Notamacropus eugenii: one gene and its partners. The protein of the gene in region 1 interacts with the protein of each later gene in a pairwise test. Links are inferred from orthologs where the notes say so. Each region holds a gene or a part of one and is shown on either strand. Other genes may lie near its edges. The genes, in order: PGBD1, NR4A1, zinc finger protein 24-like and ZNF496.

Region 1 (7,131 bases):
GTCTTGGGAGGGTGTCAGGCCTAGAGGCCTAAGGGCTACCTGAGTCTTTCCTTACCTGTCGCAGGTCTTTGGCTAGCCAAACCAGATAAACGTATGAGAGAAGAGACTTTCCAGAGTCGAACAAGGGTTAGGCTTTATTCAGGGTCTTGGTTACATGTGCAGGGGGAATTCTTCCTCAGGAGAGAGGAGTCCTCCTCCCAAGGAGGCAAAGATCTTACAGTAAGAGATTGGGAGCGGGAGAGGGGAGGGACCCTCTGCCCTCTAAGGGCCCCTCAGTGCTAAGAGCGCCTTCAGGCTTTCCTGACTCTACTTAAGCTCTCCTGCTGCATAGTTTGCACCTGAATACCGTGCCTGTTCTCAGCCCTTAGCTAGACAACAATAGGTGTGCTCAGACCATGGATTAATCTCGAGGGCAGGATGCTGTCCCCAGCAAGTTTCCCATGGGGAAGAGGCGGAAATGCACGAGATAGCCTGGGTCTCACACCTCAATTCCCAGCTGTTCCCTGGGGGGCCTCATGAGAACTCTAAGGTTTAGAAGTCCTCACTTTTACCTGCCCGAGACTGTCCACATGGAACTGAGCTTGCACCTCCAACAGGAGGGGAATTTAAAACTCAAAATTTTATAAAATTGAATGTTGAAAACTCAAACTAAATAAATGAATAAATTGAAAAAAAGAACTTTGGAATTGATTGTGTGATGTGGGAGACAGTGACATAAGAGAAGGTGCTGTGCTATATGTGCTCTATGAGCATGGTATGGTTGTTGTCCTTCATTCTCAAAGAGGACCAAAATGACATCACTATGCTAGAGTCAAGTTTTAATGTGTGCATCTGTGGGTGATCAGACCAATGCAAGTTTGGAATGTTGTACCACAAGTCAAGCACAACTAGTCCGCATGTGCATTTCGGGTGGGTACTACAAATTTGCACCTCCTGCATTTCCTTTGAGCTGTCTCAATTCTGCTTTGCACATTCTTGAATGTGGACATGCAGTGCTGAGCTTGTCATCCCACGTTACACAATCAATTCCAAAGTTCTTAAGGGAGACCTTGAGAGTGTTCCTGTATTGCTTCTGACCACATGTGAACACTTGCCCCATGTGAGTTCTCCATAAAATAGTCTTTTTGGCAAGCTTATATTTTGCATTTGAACAACACAGTCAGCCCATCAGAGTTGTGCTCTCTGAAGCAGAGTTTGAATGCTTGGCAGTTTAGTTTGGGTAAGGACCTCAGTGTCTGGTACCGTCATCCTGCCAGGTGATCTATGAAACCTTCCTAAGACAATTCATATGGAAGTGATTCAGTTTCCTGGCATGGCACCAATATATTGTCCAGGTTTCACAGGCATACAACAATGAAGTCAGCACAACAACTCTATAAACCTTCAGTTTGATAGTCTAATACCTCTTCTCTCTCATATTTTCCTTTGGATCTTCCCAAACACTGAGCTAGCTCTGGCAATGCATGCATCAACCTCATTTGTACCCTACCTGGTGGTAGAACATTCTGAGCTCATATTGATCTGATCAGCTACATTCAGATGCACTATAATGACTCATTTTTGATCCTGTTCCAGAACAAAGGACAACCACCAAGCTATCCTCCATTCCGGTTGAGTGTTTGCACAGATAAGTATCTTAGAATTTAAAAAATTTCTCATTAGCCATATCTGTTTTTATAGTTCCTTCTTTCACAGAACTGATAAGATTTTATGACTTTGTCAAGGTTGAAAACTCAAAGGACCTGACAAGTCCCCAAATAATTTCAAAGATAATGCGAATTTTTCAAGGCCTTTTGTACTTTTCTCAAGCACTAAATGAACATCATTGTTGATTTTCAAGAAAAATATAGCCAATTAAATATTCAAGACAGTTTTTTCAGTATAAGAACAAAGGACAAAAATTCCCAATAAGTGATTATCCAAATTCATCACTTTATTGCATTCACATAAAAGTGAGAGTAATACAAATTCATCACATTCTAGTTATCATTTCTCCAATAAATAGTATTTCTTATATTCTGGCAAGATCATGATGTAAAAATTTTAAGAGCATAACAAAAAATATAAAACAATATTATGGATTTAAAACATGAAGCAAAACTTATTGCCAGTCAAAGGACATCATTCAGGGAAATGCACTTCTAATTTGTCTTACATGGAAAAATAATTTCATTTATCCATCAATTTTGGTATTCTATTCTAGTAACTTAGAAACCAGTGAAGAGGACTTAAGATCAGCTTGCTCTTAGTGCTTATTGCTTAAGGCAAGTTTAGAAACTGCAGACTGCAAAACTGTTGACATTTTGTTCCTCCCCTTTTGGAATTACTGGAAATAAAACTTTTAAAATGGCTTCCATTCCGTTTAAGGCTTTCTGAGAATTCTCTAGTCAGAGAAATTATCTTCCTTTTCTACCCTAAAACAATAAATCTGTAACTCTTCAGGGAAGGGACAGAAAGATAAAGGAGTCTGAAAGCTACTTTCATGAAAATTTCACAAACTTTCTATTTTAAAAAAAATCCTAGAGAGCTGCAACCTCAAAAACCATTAGGATATTTTAGCACTTATAAAAACTACATTTTCATCATAATTTGGACTTGCAGATTACATTTTATTCTCAAATATAGTTTCTGGTTAGGTTAAAATGTCATAGATTTCTGCAAATAAAAAAGAATATCTGTTTCTCTCTCTATCTCTGTTTCTCTTTGTCTGTATCTTCTCCCTCTCTCTCTCTGTTTTCAACCTAGGAACACAGAAATGAGACTATGTATTTTTTTGGAAAACAGACATTTTCAGCATAACTCTCATTCACTTCCTTATCTTCTAGTGAATTTTTTTGGGGGGAATATACTGGTTGTTTGGAGTGGACTGGAAATTTCTTTTTCCAGTACCTGAGTTCGTGGCAGTAATTAGACAAGGGTGAGGTCAAATTTTTGTTCTCTTTAAATTCTGCAAAATAACATTCTTGGTCAGCTATCAGTTGCATCTGGTAAGTTGTCCTGCCTCTGGGATTCCACTCTTATTTCTTGTTCTCTCTTCTCATCTTACTCATTGAAGAATAAAAGTTATCAGTGAGAGAATTTCATAGAGAATTTTTTTGGTTTTATTTTGGCAAGGTTGTAAAGTGTGATGTTATTGTCCCTTAAAGGAATAAGATACTGCCTATGGGCTTCCTGTATGTCCAAAAAGAGATCCTCTTGGTGCATTTCAGAAGCTGCTAAACTAATAAACTGATAGTTCATTTGTTTCAGAAACTGAACTTCTATTTTAACTTGTAGAATTTGTAAAACTTATTAGGTAACCAAGGCCATTCATTTAAGTTTACGATGGCCATTTAGATTGACAGAGCTTAACCAGATCAGATTCTCCCTAGATTTTTTTCAAATCAGTCAAAATCTGTTCTGCACCAGAAATACTGGGTCCCATCGTGAAGACTGACTGTTCAAGGTGGAATTGAGGTTCAGACTTTGATATGGTTGCACCTCACTTTCCTCATCTGTAAAGTGGAACTAAATAATTGATATTCCCAACCCCATTGGGAGTTATGCAAATGTTAATATGATTTAGAATTAAACTATTATTATTACTATCAAAATGTACACTTCTGAGAGACAGAGAGACAGAGAGAGAGAGAGGAGAGAGAGAAGGGAGAGAGGAGAGAGAGAGAGAGAGAGAGAGAGAGAGAGAGAGAGAGAGAGAGAGAGAGAGAGAGAGAGGAGAGAGAGAGAGAGAGAGAGAGAGAGAGAGAGAGAGAGAGAGAGAGAGAGAGAGAGAGAGAGAGAGAGAGAGAGAGAGAGAGAGAGAGAGAGGAGAGAGACAGAGAGAGAGAGAGACAGAGAGAGAGAGAGACAGAGGAGAGGGAGAGAGAGACTTATGAATTGTTAAGACCCTGAAAGACAGGTTTTGACTGGAAAAGAGGCAAAGGTCTGGGGGTCCCAGCAAAGAGGGAGACAGTGAGAAAGGAAGGATTCCCAGCCGAGAGGGTCCCTGTGACTCTGAGGGAGCCTGCCAGGGTTCCAAGCAGAGAGAGCCCAGCGCCCCCTCCCCCAACACTGTCTCAGGCTCGGTGGGCGGGACCCTAAGGTGGGAGAACAAAGAGATGCAGCCAGTCCGCCTCGAGATTCCTAGAGAGGACCAGAGCAGCAGACACGACCTAGATGGCATGCGCACTTCTGGGCGCCCGGCGAATCCTGGAAAGCCTGGTCGGTCCTGAGCGCCCACGCGTTTTCTGGGGCGCGTACCCTCGCAGGCTTCGTGGTGAGTGCCGCCGAGGGGGATGGGGGCGCGGGATCGGCCCGGAGGGGTGTGCGGGTGAAACGCCTCTTCCTCCCCCGCTTCTTCACTCTCCTCTTCCCCTCCCCCCTCCCCCCTCCCCTCCCCCTCCCTCTCTCCCCCTCCTCTTTCCCTCCCCTCCCCCTCTCCCCCTCCTCTTCCCCTCCCCTCCCCCTTTCCTCCTCCTCTTCCCCTCCCCCCTCCCCCTTCCCCTCTCCCCTCCCCCTCCCTCTCTCCCCCTCCTCTTCCCCTCCCCTCCCCCTCTCCCCCTCCTCTTTCCCTCCCCTCCCCCTTTCCTCCTCCTCTTCTCCTCCCCCCCTCCCCTCCCCCTCTCCTTCCCCCCTTCCCCTCCCCTCTCCCCCTCCCTCTCCCCGCCTTCCCTCCGCCCCCCTCCTCCCGCCTCCCTGACTGCTGGAAGCACTTAGAGAAGGAGGAGAAAGGCCTCGGTACGCCGGGTCTGGGGATGGCGTCGGTGTCTGGGGCTCATTAGAGGCTCCGGCCGCGCCTCCCTCCCGCCGCGGAGGACGCCGGGCCCTGCTCGGGGCCTGCTCCCCGCATTTGCGCCGCGGTCCTTGCGGCAGCTCGGGGGATTTGTGGGTAAACCAAGGCCCCCGGCCGTCCCCCGGGGAGGAGCTGCCCTGGGATCCGCTCTCCCGAGCTCTGGCGGTAAGAAGGCGGTTCCCCGGTTTCTGCGTTTTCCGAGCCCCAGAGCCATTTTGACTTGAGAATGACCGGCTAGTGTTTATGATAACCACCGCCGCCTTCCGTAGGAGGAGGGGCAGGCCCCCCGGCCTCGCCGCGGCCCCGGCCCCCCGGCCCCCCGGCCCCGCCGCGGCCCCGGCCCCCCGGCCCCGCCGCTCTGCTCCGCTCCTAGAAACGGGAGGAGGAGGTGGGTGGTTCTGTTGTGCGTCCCGGCCCCAGAGGCGGGAGGAGCTGGATCCGAATCGGGCCTCAGGTGCTAGCGTGCGTTAAGAACGCTTGGAGAAGGGTTCCCCTGGAAGGCGGAATTTATTGACTTTGAAGAGTCAGGAGAACGGAGGAGGGAGAGAGTTGGCGGCGCGCCTCGGAGGCCAGGGGCCGGTGGCGAAGACTGCCTAGGTAGGAGGAGGCCGGGTCACGGAAGGCTTTCTTTGCCGAACGGATCGTTTGCTCCTGCAAACAATAGGAAGCCGCCGGAGGGGGTCCGCCGCGGGAAAGAGGGGGAGCCGGATGGAGGGTGGATGGAGGGGAGGCAGGCTGGAGGTCACCCGCCCATCCGCAGGCTGTTGCGATGGTCCAGGTGAGGGGCAGGGATGAGGGCCTGCACTGGTGAGTAGTTCAGAGAGGAAGGGACGTATTTGAGAGGTTGCAGGCCTCGGAGTGGCAGGCCTTGGCAACAGCTTGGCTATGGGGGGTGAGAGATAGGGAGGAATCCAGGAGGCCTGGGAGGATGGTGTTGCCCTCTCCTGTAACAGGGAAGGTGGGAGGTGGGAGGTGGGAGGGTTTGGGGGAAAGATCCTGAGTTCGGTTTTGACAAGATTGAATTTAAGATGTCTACTGGCATCTGAAAGGCAGCTGGAGATGCCACTTTGGAGGGCAGCGGAGAAGTTGGGGTAAGTTCTGATTTAAGAATCAGAAGCATAGAGATAATAATGAAAACCACGCGAGGCGACGGATCACCAAGTGAAGCAGAATAGAGGGAGAAGAGGAGGGGGCCCAGGACGGAAACGCTAACCTACAGTTAGATGGTATAATCTGGAAAGGATCCAGTAAAGGAGACAGAGGAACAGACAGGTAAGACAAAAAGCAAGAAAGAGTGGGTATTTTAAAAAACCTGAGGGAAGAAGATACCAAGGAGAGAGTATTCAACAGTGTCAAAGGTTGCAGAGATTTAGAAAAATGAGGATTGAGAAAAGGCCATTGAATTTGGCAACTGAGAGATCATAAGTAACTTTGGAGAAAGCACTTTCAGGTGGAATGATAAGGTCAGAATCCAGATTTTAAGGGGTTAAGAGGCCTATTGTAGAGAGCCTTTGGAAGGAGTTTTAACCACAAAGGACAGAAGAGATAAGGGACAATACTTGGTGAGAATGGGGGGATTGAGAGATTTTTCAAGAAAAGGTTGATGTGGACAAGTTTATAAAGCAGTTGGAAATGAGGCAGTAGGCAAGGAGAGATTGAAATTAAGTGAAAGAGTGGAGGTGACAGACAGGGCAGACTTGGAAAAGGTGGTTTTGCTTAGAGGATAAGGAGTAAGGCCCCTTTATCATGTGAAATGGGGTGATGGAGAAGAAAGTGGCAGAAGATATCTGAGTCATTGGAGGTCCAGAACAGTGTAGAAGTAGTTAATGCCCAGTGGCCTCAATTTTTTTTTTTGTGTAAAATATGAGTGAAAGTTCTCAGCTGAGAGAATTGGGAAGTCATGGGAGGTTTCAGAAGGGATGAAAAGATTTGGAAGAGCAACTATGAAAACAAAGTTAGTGACTTGGTGAGGGGGGGAGGTATAGTAAGATTGCCTACCAGCTACCAGAATAATTTTCTCAAAGCAAGATTTGGTTGTGTAATTCTCCCACTTATTCATTGTTTCTGGAATAAAATACAGACTCTTCAGTCTGGTATGTAAGGAAGTGCACATTGTAGGTCTTCTTTGTCTTTCCAGCCATATTTTCTAATCACTCCCCTTTTTGAATTCAATATTGCAGCCAGACTGGATGACTAGCTATTTTGAAAAGTTAGCAGCGTACTTCTGTTGCTATGTGCTTGCACGAGTAGTGTCAGTGCCCAGAGTAAGAAAGAATTCTTCCTCATCTCCATCAAGTAGAATAGTTTTCTTTTCATTGAGATTTAAATTTTTTGTTTCCCCATTTGGTAGTACTTTTTTT
Region 2 (7,593 bases), on another chromosome or scaffold:
GAACTTCCTTCTGCTCTTTTCTGTGTATTTTAAAAATACATATTTTATTGAGTCTCCTTTTGTTCATTTCTTTTTCTGTATCATTAGAACTTCTTCCATCCTCCCCCCCTCAAAAAAAAAGCCCTCTCATAGAACAAATAAGTATAGTCAAGCAAAAGAAATTCACACATTGTGTCTGAAAATGTCTGTCTCATTCTGCATTTCGAGTTTACCACCTCTCTGTCATGACGCAGGAAGCTTGTATAGTCATCAGGCCCTTTGAAAAGTGATTGGTCATTGATTGCACTGGTCATAATTCTTCAGTCTTTCACAGTTTAGTCATTGTTCTCATTCTCTTCACCTCATTGCTAGTTGCTTTCTTTTTCAGTTTTTGAGAATAATTTTAATTTGAAGGCACTTGGTACAGAAGATAAGAGTCCCATCTCAGTCAATTTCTGGTTCTATAAACCTCTTCAAATCACTGAATCACTGCCTGCCTCAGGTTCTTCATCTGTAAAATGGAGGTAACAATAGTCTCTACCTTCCAGAGTTGTTGTGAAGATAAAATGAGACATTTGTAAAGTGTTTTGCAATGCTAGCTATAATTATTATTCTTTAAATATTTGGTATTTTTATACCCAGATGCTAATTTTATAACAATAACTGGCATAAGTGCCAATTAAAACAACACTGAGGTTTTTACTTCATACCCAGACAATTGGCAAAGATGAGAAAAGATGGAGGAAATAAATATTAGGGGACTCTGGAAAGACAGACATACCAATACATTGTTGATGGAACTGTAAGTTGGTCTAACCATTTTGGAAAACAATTTAGAATTATGCTAAGAAAGGGGTCAAAATATTCAGCACTCACTGCTGGGTATTCATTAAGGGCACATGGACACACACATGACACACACAATATTCATAGCAGCACTTTTTGTGGTAGCAAAAAATTGGAAATAGAACAGATGTGTGTTGATTGGGGAAAATCTAAATAAATTATTGGTATACAAATGTAATGGAATGTTACCGTGTCATGAGAAACAATGAATATGAAGAATTCCAAGAAATCTAGGAGTGCTTAGATGAACCGAAGCAGAATAGAATAGAAACAATATTCATTGTGGCTACAACAGTGCAGATGGAAAAAAACAACAACAAAAAAGCTCTCTGAAAATCATATAATTATAACAACCAAACTTACTTCCTGAGAAGAGCTGAGAAAATGTGCCTCCCTCCTTTCTTTGCACAGATGGGGAGACCATGAGTGTGGAATATTGCATATACTGTCAGACTCAGCTCGTACTGGTTGGTTAGACTGAACTACTTTTTTTCCTCATTTAAAAACTGTTATTACAAACACTAGCCTTCTGGGTAGGGGATAGGGAAGAGATATACTCTGAAATGAAGATGGTGTGAAAATATGTATCAATAAAATATGAAACATCAAAAGCAATGAAATAAAAAATCAAAAGAAAAAATCTGTTCCTATGAAATTTTAACAAAGAATTAAATTCTGTGAGAAGCCCCCCCCCCAAAATATTGATTCAAGCTGACAGCATCCCATCATGGGTGTTATGGGGGAGATCCAGAGGAAGGAGGAACAAGTTTCCTGCCTTTTGAATTTCCAGACCAAGAAAGAATCCCGATAAGCCAAGTTAGGCTTGGAGAACTGAATAGCTCAGTAAGATAATTAAGAATTCAAGTGCCATTCATTAATATAATGGAACATGATAATGCAATTTAAGATTGTAGGAGGCATACTGAGAAACCTGAAAAGATCTATTTGAAATAATAGGGATATTGAACTTGAGTGGGCGAGGGATAGGGGTGGTACCCATAATTTAATTGGTTTAAGGAACTCCATGGTGAGGAAATAATACAAAGTGAAAAAAGGCTACCAAGAAGGATGTGGTATGAGTACATTCTAACTACAAGGATACAAAAGGAAAAGGGAATGAGAATGATTAGTCAGAGTGAATGAAAAATTATGATACTTGATGCACTGAAATTAGTTAATTTGAATGTAAATAGTTGCTAAGCATCTCAGTTGTACTGAGGCTCATTTAATCTTATTTTTATTGTTTTGGTTTGGTTTTATGCCTCCTTTATTTTGGATGGTAATCTTTGAATAAACATCTTTTAAAGGAACTAGAAAGTACCATCTGGAGTGGAACTGATAGGTCTCTTGCTCGACCTTCTTTCTCATTACCTAATCCTGGTCTATTATTTCTGATTTTGCATTATGTTCTTTTCTCTGAAAGTAAATCCTAGAGAGGCACTCATGTTCTGGAGTATTCAGAAGTGGGGGCTAGTAAAGGAAAGAGGGAGCATATAACAGGCGAGTCCATCCAATTAAAAAGGGATGGCAAGAGAAAAGTGAGAAATTAATTAATTAATTATGGGTTTGATGAAGTGGGTATCTGAAACAATGGGGTCCAGCGGATTTAGGAGGTAGGAAGATTCAAGAGGTCCATTGATCTGGAAAAGGTTTGGGGGAAAATGGAAAGGTGAAAGGCCAGAGGCAACACCCCATCCCTAGTTTGGAAAGGCCTAAGGCCAGGACAAACTGAATCTACTCAGAATATCTAGTTTGAATTCCCTTCCTCCACTCAGTAACTGTGTGACCCTTCGAGAGGCATTTAACTTATCTGGTCTTCAGTTTTTTCAACTGAAAAATAAGGGGGTCGGGCAAAGTGACACCTAAGCTGTCTTCTAGCTCCCACACTGGGTGATTTTTCTGTAAACTCGCTTTATGTGGTGCAACAAGTGCTAGGATTGATTGGAGAAACCTCAATTGAATCCCTGGGAGCTCATGAGATCACCAAGTAAAATAGCATAGAGCCTGGGTTGGCAAACTACGGCATGGGCCAAATCCAGCCTTTCACCTGTTTCTGTGCAGCTCAGGCCCATGGGCCTCTCTATCCCTGGGGAGAGTAAGAAGAGAAAGTGACTCAGCGAAGAGCCCTGGGGGATACCCACGGTGACCAGTCCTGACCCAGATTGAAGATCCAGCAAAAAAAAAGACTGAGAGGGAGGGGTCAAATTAAGTAGGAGGAGAACCAGGACTGAGAGTCATGAAAAGCTGGGGAGAAGGAGAGAAGAGAGCATCAAGGGGGAGAGCATGGTCACCAGTCTCAGGTGCCACAGAGAGGTCAAGAAAGTTAGAAACTTTGGAGACAGCAATTTCAGTGGAAAATAATGAGGTTAGAAGGCAGACTGCAGAGTTAAGAAGAAAGTGAAAAGAAAGGAAATGGAGGCACCTATTATACACTGCATTCTCCAGTAGTTTAGCCACAAAGGCAGGGGGGAGGGGAGGGGGCCCAGCTGCAGGAGGAAGAGGGGAGAGGAGGAGGAGGGGGAGGAGGTAAAGGAGCAAGAGGGGAGGTGGAAGGGGAAAGGGGGGAGTGGAGGAGGACAGGTATTTCGGGAGTGGATGCATTAGATCTCTGAATCTAGAGATTCCACGAGGCACAGGGAGCAAGAAAGACCAGGTCTATCTATTAGACAGCAGATAAGGGCTGGAAATCAGTGAAGGTTTAGTTTAGAAAGTCGAAAGCGAATTCTAAATGAATGAATTAGCATTTTTTAAGGGACTGTGATGCACCAGCTTCTGGGGATGCATATCTACCCGGACTTGCGATTTCATTGGTATAGGAATGCAGACCCCCATCTTAGGTACCACGGTCTGGTCCGAGAGAATCGCCTGAGAGGGATAAGATCGTGCGATTAAGAGAGCTACTATGTATACATCGTGCAATTAAGAGAGCTACTATGTATCCAGGGTCTGAAGGCTGGCCGAAGCCTCCACGCACGCAGAGGAGATCTGTAGCTCTCTTCGTCCTCACCCCACGCCCCCAAGTGTTACTGTCTCCCTTTTATCGCTGAAGAAACTGAGGCAGAAGGAAGTGAAGTGCCTTGCCCGGGTCCGAGGGCTGGAAGGGGCTGACGGTCCCAGGTCCCGACTGCTTTCCCGCGGCACCAAACACACTTCTCTGCGCGATACCTCGGATCGAGGGAGGGCCGCCAGGAGCAGAAAGCGCTCGCTGTCTTTGGAGACCAGGGCCCTGGGTTCGAATCCCTCCCTGTTCACTCTCTGGGTCTCAGTTTCCCTCCCCTGTCTGCAGCTAGGAGGCGGCGGACGGCGCGGGATCCGAGCCTTTCCCAGCTGTGACCGGTCTGCCTCAGTTTCCACAGCTGTAAAACGGCGACGACGGCCGCAGCACCCCGCCTCCCGGGGTGGTCGTGAGAATAAAATGGATTAACATGGGCCAACCTGCTCGCTGCTTCACCGAGGGGGGCAGGGGCACGTGTGCCACCTGCCCGGGCGGGGGCGGGGCTCCGGGCGCGCGGGGCTATTCCGCCCGGGAGCCGCTATTTTTAGCCCATTGAGGCGGGCGACGCTCCAGGGGCAGGCAAGCAGCCGCCACCGCCGCCGCCGCCGGGATTCCGGAGACGTCAATGGGCGCGCGCGTCACTCCTCCCCCGCCGGCCTCCGGGGGGAGGCGCGCTGCCTGCCGGAACAGCCGCTCGCGCCCAGCTCGCGCTGGGGAGCGGGGGGAGGGGCGGGGGGAGGCCCGGGAACAGCCGGGCCGGGGGCTCCCTTGGCTCGGAGAAGGAGGAGGAGGGGGCCCATGGCGACCGCGGGGCGGGCGTGCGGAAGGAGAGTGAACCGCATCGAGGAGCGGGCCTCGCACCCCCTCTGGGACCCCCGCCCAGGGTTGGGGGCCCGTGTCTGCAGAATGAAGGGCGTCCCTCCCGGGCGGGGCTTCGCGCCCTGCACAGCCCAGCTCGGGGAGCCCCAGCGGGCCAGGTGAGGGAGGGGGCGGGGCACGGACTGGGGAAGCCGGGCTGGAAAGTGGGGGCGGAGCCCGGCCGGGGGCGGGGGGCGGGGCCGCCGAATGGGCAGGAACTTTCCTCGGGAGGGAGCGGGGGAGGGAGGGAGTATTGTCGCGGTCTGGGAGTTTTTTAGGACTAGAATCTGCTTGTGTTTATTATCATTATTGTCAATATGGAGCATTCTAGATTGTTTTCAGATTTGCAGACCGCTTTTTACATGTTATCTACATATTACATAATACATGTCATACGTAGATAATATATTTGCATATATTGTCTAATATATTACATGTCGTAATATGTAGATAATATGTTTACAGATTTTATCTAATATATTACATATATTAACCCAATGAGGTTGCACTGTGAAGTAAGTGCTATTATCCCCATGTACAGATGAGTAAACTAAGGCGGAGATTGGAGTGGTGACTTGCCTAGGATCATATAGTAAGTATCTGAGTCGGGATTTTATCTCCTGACTCCAAGTCTACCACCCAGTGGGGGGGGGGTTGGGAAGGGAGAAGGTAGATAATACCGTCTTGGGAAACTTGGCAGTGCCCAAGGCACATTTCCTAGTTATGTGACAAAAAAGGACAGTGTGGTGAACCTCTATTCCCTGGGCCTCAGTTTCTCACGTATAAAATGAAGATAATCATATACTCCCAGGAAAGAGTGTCCTGCATGCTCCCTGAAACCTGATTATATTTTGGGTTCTGCATGAAAGTGGAGTATGGACAAACTTGATAACCTAGATTAGGTTCCTGCTGGCAAAGATCACCACCATTCTCTCCCTCCCCCCCTCCCCGCCCCAACCTAGGAGGGGAAAAGGCACCTCTACCTCCACCCCAGGTTAAGCTATGTAGGCTGCCCACCTTCTCTGCTACCTTTGGACTTAAAAGATTTTCCTAAAGCATTGAGAGATGGTGAGCTGCAGTATGTGGCAGAGGCCAGGCTAGAACCTGGACGGGTCTTCCTCATTCCAAGGCCATGCTGCCTATCCAAATGAGTGGAAGAGCACTTATTTATCACTTTCTGTCTGCAGTGCACACACGTGGCTATATGCTGGGTAGGCAAATGCAAAAAGAAGTGAGTTTTTGCCATCAAAGTTCTCATATCACAATAGTAGGAGACAATACACAATACATTGTGTTGACTGAGAAAGAGTTTTTCACAGAGGAGTCACAGGGATGTTGATGGGTGTCCTAGAGGCAATCAATTGACACATTCTTTTGAGGAATGGTGGTATAGATTTGATTACTATTCTCAGAGTTAGTTAGAAACTTGGGGAGGAAAGAATGGGCCATTTTGATGGCATGCAGATAGATGGGAAGTAGTCTGGTGTGTCTGCGTCTGGGCTAGATGTGGTGAATGCTCACCAATTAGAAGCCCAGGGTCTGAAATATGGGAAGAAATCTGATTATCATAGAGAGTAGGATGCTACCTTCTACCAGGGTCTGAAGCCTAGAAGCCTAGGCTGAGAACTTGAGATCTAGGTCAGAGGTGGAGACTTGAAGATGATGATGATGATGGATGACAGCTAGAAGTTGACAGGTGAAAAGGTCCATACAGGAAAGGAATCCCTCCTTCAAGACCTTCAAGATCCTGTCCTTAAAGAGGGAGCCCCTTCCCACTTTTGGACAATTCTAACTTGTTTATCCCAGTGTTGAGCCTAAATTGGTCTCCTTGCAAAATATAACTTCTATCTACTGCCATTGACTCTACCCTCTGGGGTCCAGCAATTCACATACTTGGAGACTGCTATCATGTCCTCCATCCCCAGCTCCCTACTTCTTCCCTTTCCCCTTCCACCCTCCCCCAGTCTCCTCTTCTCCAGGTTAAACTGGGCATTCCCTTCCATTAATCTCATATGCCATGGACTCAAGACCCTTCATTATTCTTTGGTTTGACCCAGGCAGAGTAAAATGGTATCATCATCTCCCTGTTCCTAGAAACTATTTCCCTCTTAATACAGCTCAAGATTGTTTCTAGCATTTTTTTTTTTGACTGTCCATTACACTGCTGACTCCTCCTGAGCCTGGAGCACCCTGATCTTTGTTCAGACAACTATTATACATCCTTATCTCCCTCATCTTTTACTTGTGAAGTTGATTTTTTGGCACCCAAGTGGAAGACTTTCCATTTATGTCTAGGGCCTTTCACTTATTCCATTCAGTTCAGTGCTATAGGCTGATCATTTTGGATCCTGATTCTTGTCATCACCTGTGTGAACTCTTCTTTCCAGTTTTGTGTTGTCTGCAGATTTGGTGAACATAACATCTGTTCCTTTATCCAAGTCATTGATCATATTGTTAAGAGGCATTGATCCCTGGGGCACTCCATTGGAGACCTCCTCTCACTTTGACATTTAGCACTACTTTGGCTGTCCAAAGTACTGTAGATACTTCTGCTTTAATATCAACCATATCCATCTTCTTTGCAAGAAACATGTGAATAGTTTATCAGAAGGTTTGTTTGTTTTTTTTTAATCTAGGTAGATTGTATCCACAGCATCCCCCACTTACGTAATCTCATCAAAAAATACAGTGAAGTGAGTCTGGCATGGCTGTGCTTGGGCCTTTGTAATCCCTGATTGCCTGATCCATCCATCATTTCTTTAATGATCTGTAAACATGGTAAATGCCCATCAATCAAGAAAGCTCAAGGTCTCTGCCTTTGGCCCAAGGTTGGAGCCTTGGGTTCCCAGGGAAGGTAGAGGGTACTTTTCCTTCAAGATGACTGAGTGCTTCTCTTGACATTGGAGCCCTGGGTA
Region 3 (7,630 bases), about 850 kb from region 1:
TAATCTATTAATTTATTCTATTTCCATTGCTATGTCAACTAGAAGACTGTTTGCCCCCTTCTCTAAAAATGTCCTTCTTGGATAATTTCCCCTTATTTAAAGTGAATATAAGAGTTTTATAATGTAATTCACTGAAAAGATGAGCACTTTTTATTTTTTAAAATGCATCACAGGAATTTTAGCAACAAGTTTGAAGACATCTTTTTCAGCTCTTCTATTAGACCTGTTGACATTGACCTGGATCTGTGATTTCATTGTCATAAAGAGCATTTTCCGCTGCACATTCACAATTTAAACTATGATCATACCATTTGTATATATGAGAGAGAGGATTTGAACTCGGATCTACTAGATTTCAAAGCTAACACTCATCTACAACACCATGCAGTCTCTCTTGTTATCACACTTTAATATGAAAATTCAGGCTTATAGGAAGGGTAGCCAGAGAGGTATAGGCCCAAGAATAGATGGTTGCCATTATCTGGGATGAGAGATTATTGAGGTCAAGAAATGGACAAGACTCCCAGTTTAGAAAAAAGACATACTCTGATTTAAGCTAGTAAGAATGTAAATAGTATGTAGTTTAGAGCTAGCTCATTTGACAAGAACAAGATGCTTCCCTGTGTTAGTAGGAAGTCTCTAACTTTAAAAAATGTGTGTGTAAAAATAAGCTACCAAATCAGATTATCACTTGACATCAAAGTATATTATAACAAACTGATGTTAAGCTAAGTGGTGATAGCATCATTATCATTTGGAAATGGAAAGTTGTAGGGTAAAACTTTTTCAGAGTATCTGAAGCATTGTCTAAGAGGATCCCCTTTATTAGCTGACTCGTATCTAATTATAATGGCAGGCATATCTTTATAATGAAGAAGTGTGATTGATTGGGCTATTGAATCTTATTGTAAGTATCACTTAAAATTGAGCAAAAGGAACTTTAGATAATTTTGTCACAAAATTTCAGAAGTCTCAGTACCTGAGAGGCTACTTATTCCAACCCATAACTTAACAGTATACCCCAGATAGCTCAATACCAGAAAAAGATAATTAGTTAATACAACTATGTAATTGTGATTAATACATATATATTTCCCCAACATAAATTAAAAAGTGACTTCCTAATACAAATAAATTTTGGGATTTGGGTATCACCCTTGGGTAGCTTAACCACTGTTTCCAAGCATAGACTTTGGATCAGATCGCAGTCAGAGTCTGGACCCATGATGATACCACAAAAATGTAGAAACTGGTAATACCTGATTTAAAGAACTTGCCAAAATGCATTCTTCAAAATTGAAGTTAAAAACATCCCCACTATAGTTTATAAGTTTTAAAGATTTTATATTTTCCAGCAGCTCATCGATATGTATTGGGCAAGTATAGTAGCACAGAAATTATATCTACATGTTTAATGGAAATAAGTGTTCTATTTGAAAATAAAGCAACTGGCTTATTTATTTAAATTACTTTGACAGAAACTGATAAACTAATTTTCCCTTTTGAGGGATTCATTATACGTATTATAATAATACACATTTTGTTAGTGATAATGCCTATGTAACGTACTCCATTGACTGTATTCTCCTGTTGTGCTTCAGTTACACCACTGAGTAGACAAACGTCAGACGTGAGAAAGAAGAAGGAAAAGGAAGTACCTGTAATTGGCCATTTGGTCTACCTGTAACTGTCACAAAGTATAATCATTTCACACTTCTCCCAAGATTATTAATATATCTAATGCTTTGGATGATTCCAATAGGTTGGAATTAGTGTGGGCCAGCTAAAAGTATATGTGACAAATATATAGCAACAAGTCATCAAAAAAAGCCAGTGGGGAAAAGTGAATGCAAAATGGAGCTTGCTTATAAATATGCTGATAGTGATGATGTCATGTGGATTATAGAGTTAAGTATATATGTATGACTGTATTGATATAATGTATTATTTTATATTATAGAAAATGTAAGGGTCTTTTCTTTGGGACTCATTCTCCTTGTGGCTGAAAAGAGCAAACCAATGACCAATAAAGCAGTGACCTCCCCATAGATAATCATTGTTGTGTGTTATTCCCCCAATAAGAGGATGATCATCGTTGCGTTAGGACTTGGATACCTTGCACATTAGACTGGAGAGTCTAAATCAGGTAAACTGAGGGGTACAACTACCCTCATTTGGTTAATCATTCATTCAGCAAGTGTTTATTAAGTGCTTAAAACATACCAGGCTCTGGGGATACAAAACAAAAACACACCTGCCTTTATCTTCTACTGGGGGAAACTGATTACATGGATAAGTAAGTACAAAAATACTCAAAGTAATATGGGATAGGGGAAATGTTCTGAACAATGGGAGGAATCAGAAAAGACCTAATATAGAAGATGACACTTGTACTAAGCCTGGTTGGAAAATAGGAATTCTAAAAAAAACAGTTGAGGAGGGGAGTAACGTCTAGGTATGGGAGATATTCTAATGAAAAGGCTCAAAGGTGGGAGATGAAATGTCATGTTCAGCAAGTTAGACCAGTCTGGCTATGACATATGTAAAGGGCACAACATATGATAAGCCTCAAAAGACAGGCTATGCCCAGATTATGAAGAGCTATAAACAACAAAGGACTTTGTATTTTATTCTATCAATTCAATATGATGTAATCAAAACTTTCCCTGGGGACCATAGGTAGGAAATCTGATCAGAGCATTCTTTCTTTCTAACAGCTGAACAAGCCCTTTAAAGTTTCAGAAAACATGGAGGTCTCTATCTGGAAAATTTCTAGGCATGATCAAGATATTTGTACCTGCTATTAGGTAAATGAAATAATCTCCAAACACAGGAGAAGATTTAGGGAGGATGTGATAGTTTTCTTGAAATATTTTAAGTCTCATCATGGAAAATATATTAGACTATTTTGCAGAGAAACAAACTTTGGCTTCAAACAAGGAAACTATTCCTAAGAGCTGTCTAAAAATAGAATGGGCTGTTTGACAAACATTAAGTGACTGCTATGTGAAAGACATTCCTGAGAGTTGAAGGTAAAAAACGGAACTAAAGCCTTCAAAGAACACACATCCATTGGAAATGTAGTGGGTTCTCCCTAGCTGGAGGTCTTCCAGCAGAAGCTGGAATCACAAGGTGGATTCCTCTTCAGGTAGGAGTTGAACTAAATGACCCCTGAGGCTCAAACCCAGACTGAATCTGTGATTTTACAAATCTTTTATGCTTTTGATGGCAAGTAACTAAAAAATTTAGTTGTAGTAGAAAAATACCTGCCAATGTACCATACTTATGAAAAATTTGCCCAGTGAGTTGTCTTTTCTGAGTTGGCTCAAGCTTTTTGTTAGAACTAAAAAAAGCAGAGATAATGCAGACCAAACTTTCACTTCCCCCAGCCATTTAACCAAAAGAAATTTAGCTCTGTATTTGTTTTCAAGCATCCCTGAAATTCCACCTCATGTGACGAACCAGTTTTCCTTCCTTAAAAAAAAAATCTTGTAATCAGTATATAATAACTTTGGTCTTTTTTATTTCCTTTCCTTGTGTATTTCATATCTTATAACTTTTATGGCACCATAATATTCCATTACATTGAAATACCATAATATATGCATTCTCCAAATAAACAGCAAACATTAAGTACCTACTATGTACAGCATTATGGTGGACTCCACAAACAAAAGTGAACCAGCCCCTACCCTTAAAGTGCTTGCATTCTAAAAGGGAATTTGGAGGATGTGGGGCTTAGGGAAGGTGCAGAAAAACGCTAGGAAAGGCTTGGTGCAGAAGGTGATGCTTGTGCTGTCTTAAGTAATTTGGGATATGAGTAGTTTTCAATTTTTGTCTTTTTCAAATCTCTCTCTCCTTCCCCTCCCTCCATATATGTGTGTGCATGACATTTGCCTTAGTCTTGACATTTTAAATGACTATTATTTTAAAATGTTTGCCATTCCAACAGATACAATATATCCTAACATGTAACTTTCTAACGAATATATTACCGGAAAACTGTTGGAGATACTGTTTCAGACACCTAGCAGATACAAGAAAGCTTGACATTATGTAACTTTCTAACGAAGATATTTCCGGAAAGCTATTGGTGGTAACTGTTTCAGACAAATTGACAATTGTTAATGGAAAGATACATTGTTGCTAGGTTGTAGAGGGTTTCAAAAACCAAATCGTTTATACGTTCCAAAAGTCTTAGTGCAGGTTTAAATTTTAGTATCAAAACTGCACTAAGACTTTTGCAATGCCTCGTATCTTATCCTAGGGAACCAATGGAGTTTATTGGACAAGGGAATGACATGGTCAGTCCTGTACTTTAGGAAAATCACTCAACTGTGTGGAGGGTAGACCGGAGAAGGAATAGACTTGCGATAACGAGAACCTGGACTAGGGCGGTGACTTTTGGAGGCTTTGTGCATAGCGAGAAGGGGTAGAAAAGGCAGGATTTGGCATCTGACTGCAAATGTCGGGGGAGACAGGATAAGAATCGTCGCCAAGGTTACGAAAAATGCTTGCCGCCCCTTTCCGTTCTGAATCTACCATCACATGCTTGTAGGATTCCCCACTCCCTCATCTCTACGGCAACCACTTGAGTCACTTCCCCCTGGCCCGCTCCGGATTGAGAACCGGAAGCAGCTCTGCCGGGAGGCTTCTGGGAGAACGTTTTTCTAACATCCTTTTACGACAGCCGGGGAGAAGGCGAGCCACCTCCTTCCCAGGCCGGGGGTGAGAACAAGAAGGGTACAGGGCAAGCCTGCGTTCGGACAAGTCCGAAGTGGGGGCACCGAGAGCGAGGACCCAGGAGGCTTCATTCATCCGTGTGTCCCAACTGCTGCACCCATAGCCCGAGATCTGCGAGGAAGGACGGAAAAGGGGGGAGAGGAGAACTTGGCGATTCTTCATGGCCACCCTGCTGTGACGTTTTCAACCTCATCTCCGTGCCCCGCCGCGGAGCCATTGAGGGTTGAGTATTCCAAGGGAGGTGCCTGTCTGCAGAAAGTAGGGGCCGTGTGCGAGGGCTTCTGGGAAGAGTAGTCCGGGCTGGGTGTGTGCGGAAGTCTTCAAAGGGTCTTCTTGGAATTAGGTGAGTGCTGGGTTGAGGGTCCGAACATCTCAGGTTGCCGGCATGTCGCCTCTGTGGCTCCCCAGGGATGCGCCTGGGCGTCCGTGGAGGTTCTAGACCCTGCAGCCAGAACAGGAAGATTGTTTTTAGAGCTAGGCCTGCTGTGTCCGTGTCCTGTACCCCTCGATGACTCTTTCCAGCCTCACTCCCTCCTTACTGAGCTGACGGGGAAATTTTTCTTAGAAAATAGGCAAAAAAGAGGGGGAGGGGGAAAGGAGCGTTTCCTTAAGTAGCTTTCGATTAAGCGTTGCTCTCTGCGGCCAATAAATGAACACACATTTTTGAAAAACTACATACTAAGTGCCAATTGCTGGAATAAACCCTGGAAATACACCCAACTAAATAATGATGCACTCCTTCTCTCAAGAAGTTTAACATTCTGTTGAGGGAGACAACGTGGACGTAATTTAGAATATGCAAAAGACAAACCCCGTAATTTTGGAGAGAGCATTAGCATCTTGAGAAAGGTTTCCCAGAGAAGGTGTTACTGGAGTTGTTTTGAAAGAAACAAGGAAATTAAGAGGCCGAGATGAGGGAGTGCATTCCAGGCATAGGATTCAGCCAGTGCAAAGTCAAGGAGATGGGGAAATGGAGTGTCCTGTGTAAAGACCAGCAAGGTCAGTCTGGCTGGACTGCAAGAGTGTGGTAAAAAAGGAGTGGATAATAAGGGATTTTGGAAAGGCAGGCTGGGAAAAGGTTGTGAAGGGTTTCAAATGTCAAAACTCTTTTGTACATGGTATTTGTTTGAATTTAATCCTAAAGAATTAAGGAACCACTGGAGTTCCAGTGAGAAGGTTACATGGTCACACCTGTGCTTTAGGAAAGCCATTCTAGTAGATTTGTGGTGAATGGATTGGATTAGGAAGAAATAAAACAGGAAGAGGAGGTGACAGACTATTACAGTGATCTATGCATCTGGCGATGTGGGCCTGGTCCAGAGTAGTGAGTGTGTGAAGAGATGGGTGACATTTGAGATGTTAAAAAAGTAGAAATATAACTATTTGGCGACTGAATAATAAATATGTGGACTGAGGAAGGGAGGTTTCCAAAAAATAGACAAAAACCTTGCGCCTAGTCAGGATTAGGAGTGAAAAAGCACACTAGTAGAATCTTTTGCTCATAAGGACTTATCTCGGACTCCTAGGGTTGACGGAAGTCCCTTTCTCCTGGTTAGTACATAATGAACTTTTTGAAAAGAATAAAGGGTTCCTTGACCACAGTTACTGAGTAGACTTGAGTCTTATTCAAGTTATTTAAATAAATATTGAAAGAAATGCACAGGGCCTGAGGTGAAGGTAGAAGGAAGGTAGAAGGAGGTAAAATTTTTCTGTCATTTGTCTTTGGTTCACTGGAGGGAAAAAAAGTGTGCTGACTACCCACAAACAAAAAACAATAAAGATCCATATAAGATTTGAACAGATATTACCTTAGCATTACAGATTTTACTGTACCACCCATTTCATCATGCTTAATATTTACAGATGATGTGTACTGAAAATTATTTGAGGACAAAATTAGGGGAGCTGCCTTCAATTTTTAAGAACCACTTTCTGGGGATCATTGAATACATTATCCACAGTTGCTATTAGGTAGCTGTTTCCCTAAAATCTGACTCATACACTGGAGGTTTCTCACAGATTTTTAGTTCATTCTTTGTCTTTCTAGCTAATCTTTTATTTGTTGTTTTCACTCATCTTTGTGACTATATGAATAATAATATTAGTGGTAATTTCTCATATTCATTTTTTTTTTTTTTTTTACAATTTTAAAGGCAGCTGGTGGCACAGTAGATAGAACACCAGGCTTGGAGTCAGTAAGACCTGAGTTCAAATCCAGCCTTAGACACTCACTGCTTTGTGACCCTGGACAATTCTCTTAAGCTCTCTCAACCTCTGTTTCCCTAACTGTAAAAATGGCAATAATAATAATAACACCAGGCATAGTGCCAGGTACATGGTAGTTGCCATATAAATACTTATTCCTTCCTGGTTTGTCACAACACACCTGTGAGAGAAGAAGTGCAAGTATCATTCCCCTTTTTCAGATGAGGAAATTGAAATTCAGGGAAATTTAATAGCCCGAAGTTATACAGCCAATAAGTAGTAAAGCAGAGACTAGCATTCCAACCAGAATAATTGAGTGCTTTGGCTCTTATGACCAGATTTTCCTTTCCTTTTATGAAGTTGTGGTTTATATAAGGAATAAAATATCAATATTTCTTTGTTCAGTCTTATTTTTCTATCTCATAGAAAAGCAAATATCCTTATCGGATGATTAGCTCCTGACTAACCTTCGTTATCATATATATGTCTAAGCTTTTACGGTTAGTTATCTGTTGCTGCTGATTTTTTTTTTTTTGTCCAATATTCCAGGAGTGGTAGAAGAGCTAAAGGTAACTATATTGGACCCCAACTGAAGTAAGTTTCCTTCCGACATAGTGTCATTCAGAATGTCTACAGAATTGAGTGAGGATTCAGTATTGATTTCTCCCACTCTAACTGAAAA
Region 4 (7,424 bases), about 1.6 Mb from region 1:
TTTTTTTTAAGATGATTCATTTTAAAACTTGTTGCATAATCTTTTCTGTGTTGGGGCAAAGTAAACATTGTGTTAAGACCAGGAAAAGCTTCTTTAAAAGATGGGAATTGAGTTGAGTCTTCAAGGAATCTAAGAAACGAGAGGTGAGGAGGGAGAGCATTCCAGGCATCTGTTTTACTCTGGGTCGGAGTGTTGCAATCTTCAATTTCCCACTCCAGTCCCACTATGCCAAGTATCTAGGTCAGAGCACTGCTGGCTCCTGCTGCCAGAGGGCTCCCATCTGACCACATTGTGAACTTCCACAGAATTTAGGCTTTCCCCTCACAAGGTTGCAAGCCTCAGGTGCTTCTTCAGGTGTAGACTTTCAGCCTGTTTTCTGGGCTGATGCTGGCTTCCCTAGTGGAATCTCTCTCCCAGTGACCACAATTTCTGACTTTTTCTTCGATTTTGGTCTGGATGAAGGCATTTATTATCATTTCTCTTTGAACTTTTTGACCGTCATTTCATCTTGTGCCTTTTTACATTTTTGCTAGAGTACATGTGGGAAATGTAGACTGTTTAAATGACCTTTCATGTCACTCTTCTAACCATTAATCTTCCCTATAGATTTTAAACTTGTTAGTAACTGTTTATCCCAGTTCTAAGAAGATTTATCAGTAGAACTCAAGTTTTGCCTGTTCTACCAAGTTGGAAAGACCTACCTACAGTGATGAAAATCCAGGACTGAAGGGTCAATTTAGCTAAATTTATTAATGATTGGGCTTGGGTTTCTGTTCAGGTTAACGATGGACAGTAAGTTTTCTCACAGAGAAGTTAGCAAAGTAGAAAAACACTACCTCTTCTACGATGGTGAATCTGTTTCAAGAAAATTATTTTCTTAAAGTGCTAATAAAATAAGTATGATTTTATTGCTTGTCACCTTGAACCCATCCTGATGCTAACATCTCTATAAAGATGGACATCAGCATTGAAATTGTCTATATGTAGAATCTGAATATAATAAATCTTTAAAATATCATTCAAAAGATGTCATTATTGGAAAATAATTCTTATTAGAAAGAACAAAAATTGAGCATATGGAGTTATAGCCAATATAAGAGATCATTAGAATTAAGCCCAGCATTTAGGACCATAACTAAATATGAAATAATGGATAGGATACAAGCTAAAGGTGAACTGACTCTTTCCAGGAGGGTATGACCCAACTCTAACAATAAGATGTGAAGAAAAATTTCCAAGTAAGATACTTTTGCAACCTAGTCCTCATGAATGAGGAAGGCAAATGGTACTTCAAGCAGTAGGAGATCATTTTATAGAGAAGAGCTTCTGAGAAACTGAAGAGACAAGAGAAAAAAAAAAAACTTTCACCAGCAGAATCTCTAGAATCACAGGTGTATGTTAAGCAGCCTCAAATCTGAATTAAGCATGAGGGAAAACTGTAAAAGTTCAAAAAAGTCAAGATGGTTGCAACCTACAGGGGAAAAATAGGCCAAAATTTCATTTATAACTGTTACCCTTAATCTGATCCTGCTGTATTTATTTTGTTATACTACTAAATGTTCTTCAAAATATTTTTTCCCTGAAACATTGGAACTTCCTCAAATTGCCAGGGTGTTGTCTTTTTTTTTTTTTACTTCATACTTTGATTTGATGATAATATGCATTCAGATATGCATAAGCCTAAACAGTTAAATATTTCATCTGTGTAGGTTGATGTTTTGTAATTTCATATTCCTCCTATAGGATTATAGATCATAAAACTTCCTGCCCCCATCCATTTCCAGATCACTGATATTCTTTTCAAAACAAGACCTGTGTTTGGATGATATTAGAAAGTTCAAGTGGTTATGGTGTTATGTAAAAATTTACAACTAGGTATTCTATGCCTACACCTTTCACTGAGTATATTTTAGAAGTCTTGTATGCGTCTGAGAGGTTTATATATGATTCTTTTGTTCTAAGTCTCCCATTCCATAATGTTTTAAATTTATAGCTTCATTACAACCTTGCAAATTAAGGAAATACATAACGTAGTGGGTTGATCACAATTTTAGTTCCATTGTCTCTTTTTGCCATTCTTAGTCTACAGCCCTTCTGTAGATTTTCTACAGTGTTAATAATTTAAAATTGTGAATTTTCATATAAGATTTTTCCCCCTGTACTTTAAGGTATTTTACTTTTTAAGTATTAGGGAAATTTTAGATATGTGTGCAGAAAACACCAATTCTTAAATTCACAAACCTATTAACTGTTAGGATAAATGGACTCTGTGTCATCTCCGATTCATATCTTCTTAAAGATACTTGTGTTAAACTGTAGCTCTAAACAGTCACAACTCAGATTTCACAAGCTAACTTTTCTAGGAAATACATAGTGTCTGTCTTAATTTTGTTTATCACTGAATTTAAGTCCTCATTTGTTCAGATTCTTAAGAGAAGGTTGTACTTGTGAACATATGTTCACAAGTATGAGTTCAGTTCTTAGATGTATTATATATATGTACTTAATTATACATATGTACTATTATAACTATAACTATATATGTGTATACATGTGTGTGTATATATATATATACGTATATATATGTATATACGTATATATATATATATTTCTCATCTGATACACAGCAAAGTCACTTGCTCTTAAGGTTCATGAACCACCTAAGATAATTTTTTTGTAAACTTCAGTACAAGCCTTGTCAATTAACCTTATATTATGAATAAGCTAAATCATCTTGACTACATTTCTCTAAGAACTGTTTTCCTACTATGCCACTTTGACAAAAGTCAGTACTCAATTTTTCTTATTGGCAGACGATTCTATGTACTGTGGGTGTCTGGGAATGGAAACAGATTGATTTTTTTACCCTCATGTAAGGTGCCTGTTAAGAATTTTATTAAATGCCAAATACTTTCATGGTAAAGTCACATATTATAATCTAAAAACTGTATTTAAGAATTATGAGAACTGTATTTAACCAGCTTCAAGTTGTGCGACTGTGCATAATAAAGAATTTGAAACAGATAATGAGCTATTTGAATGATTAAAAACAGCAGTATCGTCAAAAAATTTTTTACTGAGACTCATGATCAAGCTGGTTACACAGCATAATGAATTTTTCTACTATTACAGTTCTATTACAATTGCCTAATAAATTCTAGTATAAGTCTAAGGAGGAGTATAACCCATTCCAATGAACTCACAGATCCTTTGCAAACCTTAAAGCAGATCTATATGTTAACTAATATTAGTCTTATCCTTGAATAGATACTCCAATTTATTTTGTTTCCCTTACGGCTTCAAGCACAGTATCATTCCACAAGTAATAGCTCAAGAAATGGTTTTTTTTTAGATAGAAATTCTATTTCTATTCTATTCGGTGTTTTAATAGAAAACAGAAAACAAATTAATTTTTAAAAAGAAATGTTTTTGAATAGTCTTTAAGATTTAAAAAAGCACCTTACTTCACACGAACAGTTAAGTAGATGCTGCAAGTATTATTATCTACAAAAGATCATTGAATTATTAGATTCAGAGCTGGAAAGGACCTCAGAATCTCCTGGTTCAAAGCCCTCATTTTACAGATGAGGAAACTGAGGCTTGAGAACGTTATATGACCTCCGAGGTCACACAGGGAGTAAACACCAAAGGCAGGATTTGAACCTATTTGAACCGACTACCGCCAGTACTCTTTCCAGTTTTCCAGATTAACCTGACCATGATCACACAGATAGAGTTGGAGGGATTCCCTGTAATCCAACGCTAACCACCACACTTCACTCCTGCTCAACCTTTGTGGTTAATGAATCCCTTGTCTGTGTGCAACATTGTATTCATTTCAGGAACGAATCTAAGGACTTTAAAGGACTGCGTCTGGTCTTCCTACAAAGTCCAGCCTTAATTGCATTGAGACATCTAATAGATGACTGTACTTTAGCGTCGCTGGAAATGAAGACGACACAGCAGAGAAGCTGCAACATTTCTGGAAGCAGTGAAATCAACATGCGTGCTCAGGGGGCGTGCTGCCCAAGCCCGGAGTGGCTGAGATCTACATGGTCTCCTCTGCAAACACCGGACATTCCAAAGACACCTCTTTGGCTTCTGAAGGCCCGGCGGTCCGTTCGCAGAAGGCCCGAGGGCAGCCCTCTCTCTTTTAAGAAGCCCTTCTAGATCAGCCTACGCTGTTCTTCAAGTCGAAGCATCCCAAAGCCGTAAGAAGACACTTCCGAACGGGTTTAAAAAGGGAAGCCTTCAGCCTATGGGATACATTCCTTTGGGTAACTTCCTTCTCCTCGCGGAGGAAACGGAGCCGGCCCAAGACCCGCGGCTGAGCTGCGCCACCTGCCGGCAGAGGTTTCTTGGGTCCGAACTTTTTCCCGTGTGACGTCACCGCCTGGAGCCAATCAGCAGTTCTCCTCTGGGCTCTCCCCAAGTCCTCGCCAAGCGAATGGAGATGAAGTGAAGAAGCCCGGAGACTGAGTGCAAAGATTCCGATCAGTCCTGAGGTGAAGGGTAAGAAAGAGCGAGAGGCCAACCGACTGTGTTTGCGGCGGGGGGAGGGGAGGGCGGTGCCGCCAGGAGAGCGGGCCGGACGAGGAGGGGGAGAGCGGGGCAGGCCCACGGCCGGACCCCAGCCGCCGCCACTCCGAGGTAAATGGAGGCCGGGCAGGCCCCGCCGTTTCGGGGGAGGCCGGGTTCCGGGCCGGAAGTAGCCGGGGCCCCGCCTCACATACTGTCATCCCGGGGGAAGCCTCGGCTCGTTTCCCGCCCCGGCCGGTGGCTGCCACTGTCGGGTCCTCTCCAAGCCGGCCCTCGACCCCGCTCGGTGGCCGCCGGCCCTGGGTACCCTCGGGTACCCGGAGGCTTCTCCCCACCAACGGAAAACCCGTCACTAGCCTTCTCCCGCTCCGCCTCGCGTTTCCCCTGCCTTCTGGGGGCCCCTTCCTTTACTGTGGTGCAGTGGCAGGATGGACAGTCGGACGGCCGAAAGCCCGACTCCCCCCTTAGGCCTGTGGCCTTAAACAGATTCCTTTTCGGTGGGCCTCTGTTTCATCACGTATAGAACGGCGTGTGTGGTGGGGGTGGATTTGCTCATCTCCAGTGGCCCTTCTGACTCAAAATTTTTACCCCGGTCTCTTTAACAGAACTAAGTTTTTGTGGTATTTACTGAAACTTAGCCTTCTCTTGTAAACATCAGGCGCCTTTATATGCTCTCCAAGGCTCACTCCTTTTTCCCTCGTAGAAGGATGAGTTGGCATGCTGATACTCTTTTAAACACTGGCTCACCCTTACCTAGCAACCATCTTTAACGGTCGATCAGTTAACCGGGATTTATTAAGTACCTTCTTTATGCCAGACACTACTTCTCTACAAATAAACCCCTCCCCCCCAAAAAAAGATCCCCCTGCCTTCAAGTAACTTATGTTGTATCGGGGAAAATAACAGGTATACATATAAATAAATACAAAATATCCAGAAAATAAACACTAATCATTTGCTGCTGTCTGTGGATACACAGATCACGTAAGTCGATTACCTGGCTCAAAATTTTCTATGAGCTTTGTTTCCTTGGCACAGTCTGACCTGGCTCCACAACCTTCGCAATGACTTCTTTCTCAAAAGGGTCATAGCTGAGACTCTTCTCACTACTTCAAATGATTCCTGATCATGACTCTGTCTTGGATGTTTGCTGAATTGCTGAGGACAGAAAGGAGACTTTTGGCCATGGATGATACTTGTTGCTTTACTGTGTTCGTCCTTCCTTGCAGAGGAAGACCATGCCATCGGAGAAATAATGACATGACTTGTACTTGACTTTGTTTTGAGTGAGAGAGGACTGTGTAGGTCACCAGCCTCACTTCTCCTCTCCTCCAGCCTCACCAGCAATCTGAATCCAGTGACCAGATATTCATCAGGATGACTGGAGATGACCCAGGATGAGGCAATTAGGATTAAGTGACTTGCCCAAGGTCACACAGCTAGTGAGTGTCAAGTGTCTGAGGTGAGAGTTTCTGAGGTGTTGCTTTACTAAGAGAAACGGGAAGAATGGGTCTCTTCAATCTTCTCCTGCATGCTCAGCCTACTACTTGGTGAATGAAGCAGTTTAGGAAACAGAACATGAAATAGATAGAACTGAATCAGGGTAACATGGAAAAAGTGCTAGATTGAGAATTTTGTTCCTCAGTGAAAGATCAAAAAATGTTAGGACTTAATCCAAATCTTTCCACTATGCAAGACTGCTTTTGTAATGCATTATAAAATTCCTTTTAAGATCTAACATGATATAATTAAATCTTCACTCTCTTCCACCAAGGGACCAGTTAGTTGTTGATAGTAGCCTAATTCAGACCTGTTTCTCCTTTTCATCTTTTCCCTTCCTACCCTTTCCCCATTTGCCTTCCTTTTCTTTCCCATTTCACCCCCCTTTCTTATTTTTGTTCTCTCATGCTTAAGATAACATGAGAAAAAATGTCTAAGAATTCAGTAATTATTATTTCTAAAACAAGGTTGCCTTGATTTTCTCAGTTTCCTCATTTCACATATGCAATCAGTTGCAAAATCTTGTTATTTCTATGTTAACGTCTTTCTCATAGGTCTCTTTTTCTCCAGTAACAGCTACTACCTTAATTCAGGGCCTTAATACCTATCATATTGCGACAAACTCTTATTTGGTCTCTCTGCCTCAAGTTTCTCCCAATCCCAATCCATCTTCCTGCCAAAGTGATTTTCCTCAAGTGAAGGTCTAACCTTGTTACTCATCCACTCAGTAAACTCCCAAACAGTGACTCTGATACCTCTAGGATCAAATATAAACATATAAAGCTGTATGGGGCAGCTAGGTGGTACAGTGGATAGAGTACCATTGCAGGAGTCAGGAGAACCTGACTTCAAATCTCACCTCAGACACTTGACACTCACTAGCTGTGTGACCTTGGGCAAGTCACTTAACCCAAAGTGACTCATCCTGGGTCATCCCCAGTCATCCTGATGAATATCTGGTACTGGATTCAGATAGCTCTGGAGGAGAAGTTAGGCTGGTGACTCTCCCTCACTCAAAACAAAGTCAAGCACAAGTCATGTTATTATTTCTCTGATGGCATGGTCTTCTTCGGCAACAACAAACACATATAAAGCTGTATATAACCTGGGCCTTTCCTACATTTCTAGTTTTATGCAGTATTCTCTTTTGCCTAATAATTGTTCAGCATTTCTGGAATGCTTTCCCTCCTACCTCTCAGGATCTCTAATTTGCTTCCAAATCAAATTCAATCAACACCTTTTATACAGTGTTTCTTGATCCCCAAAAATGCTAATGCTCTGCCTCCCCAAATTACTTTATGTTCATCTAGTATATATAGTTTTATATTCTTACATGTACATATTCGCTCCCCCAAACGGAACTCAACTCCTTGAGGGCAGAAACT

The links.
Region 2: the proteins of PGBD1 (region 1) and NR4A1 interact in binary tests that used the Homo sapiens proteins (3 or more experiments, as listed by UniProt). The two-hybrid records come from large-scale screens. The link is inferred for Notamacropus eugenii from reciprocal best matches to the Homo sapiens genes PGBD1 and NR4A1.
Region 3: the proteins of PGBD1 (region 1) and zinc finger protein 24-like interact in binary tests that used the Homo sapiens proteins (3 or more experiments, as listed by UniProt). The two-hybrid records come from large-scale screens. The link is inferred for Notamacropus eugenii from reciprocal best matches to the Homo sapiens genes PGBD1 and ZNF24.
Region 4: the proteins of PGBD1 (region 1) and ZNF496 interact in binary tests that used the Homo sapiens proteins (3 or more experiments, as listed by UniProt). The two-hybrid records come from large-scale screens. The link is inferred for Notamacropus eugenii from reciprocal best matches to the Homo sapiens genes PGBD1 and ZNF496.

The regions. Positions count from the first base shown.
Region 1 is NC_092873.1:73,251,115-73,258,245, forward strand, and holds the start of PGBD1 (piggyBac transposable element-derived protein 1), read left to right. Parts: upstream 1-4,128; 5' UTR 4,129-4,255; intron 4,256-7,131.
Region 2 is NC_092874.1:224,525,188-224,532,780, forward strand, and holds the start of NR4A1 (nuclear receptor subfamily 4immunitygroup A member 1), read left to right. Parts: upstream 1-4,590; 5' UTR 4,591-4,797; intron 4,798-7,593. UniProt on the Homo sapiens protein: Orphan nuclear receptor. Binds the NGFI-B response element (NBRE) 5'-AAAGGTCA-3'. Binds 9-cis-retinoic acid outside of its ligand-binding (NR LBD) domain.
Region 3 is NC_092873.1:72,398,618-72,406,247, reverse strand, and holds the start of zinc finger protein 24-like, read left to right. Parts: upstream 1-4,611; 5' UTR 4,612-5,086; intron 5,087-7,497; 5' UTR 7,498-7,574; coding exon 7,575-7,630. UniProt on the Homo sapiens protein: Transcription factor required for myelination of differentiated oligodendrocytes. Required for the conversion of oligodendrocytes from the premyelinating to the myelinating state.
Region 4 is NC_092873.1:74,849,255-74,856,678, forward strand, and holds the start of ZNF496 (zinc finger protein 496), read left to right. Parts: upstream 1-4,423; 5' UTR 4,424-4,512; intron 4,513-4,563; exon of another isoform or gene 4,564-4,650; intron 4,651-6,895; exon of another isoform or gene 6,896-7,424. UniProt on the Homo sapiens protein: DNA-binding transcription factor that can both act as an activator and a repressor.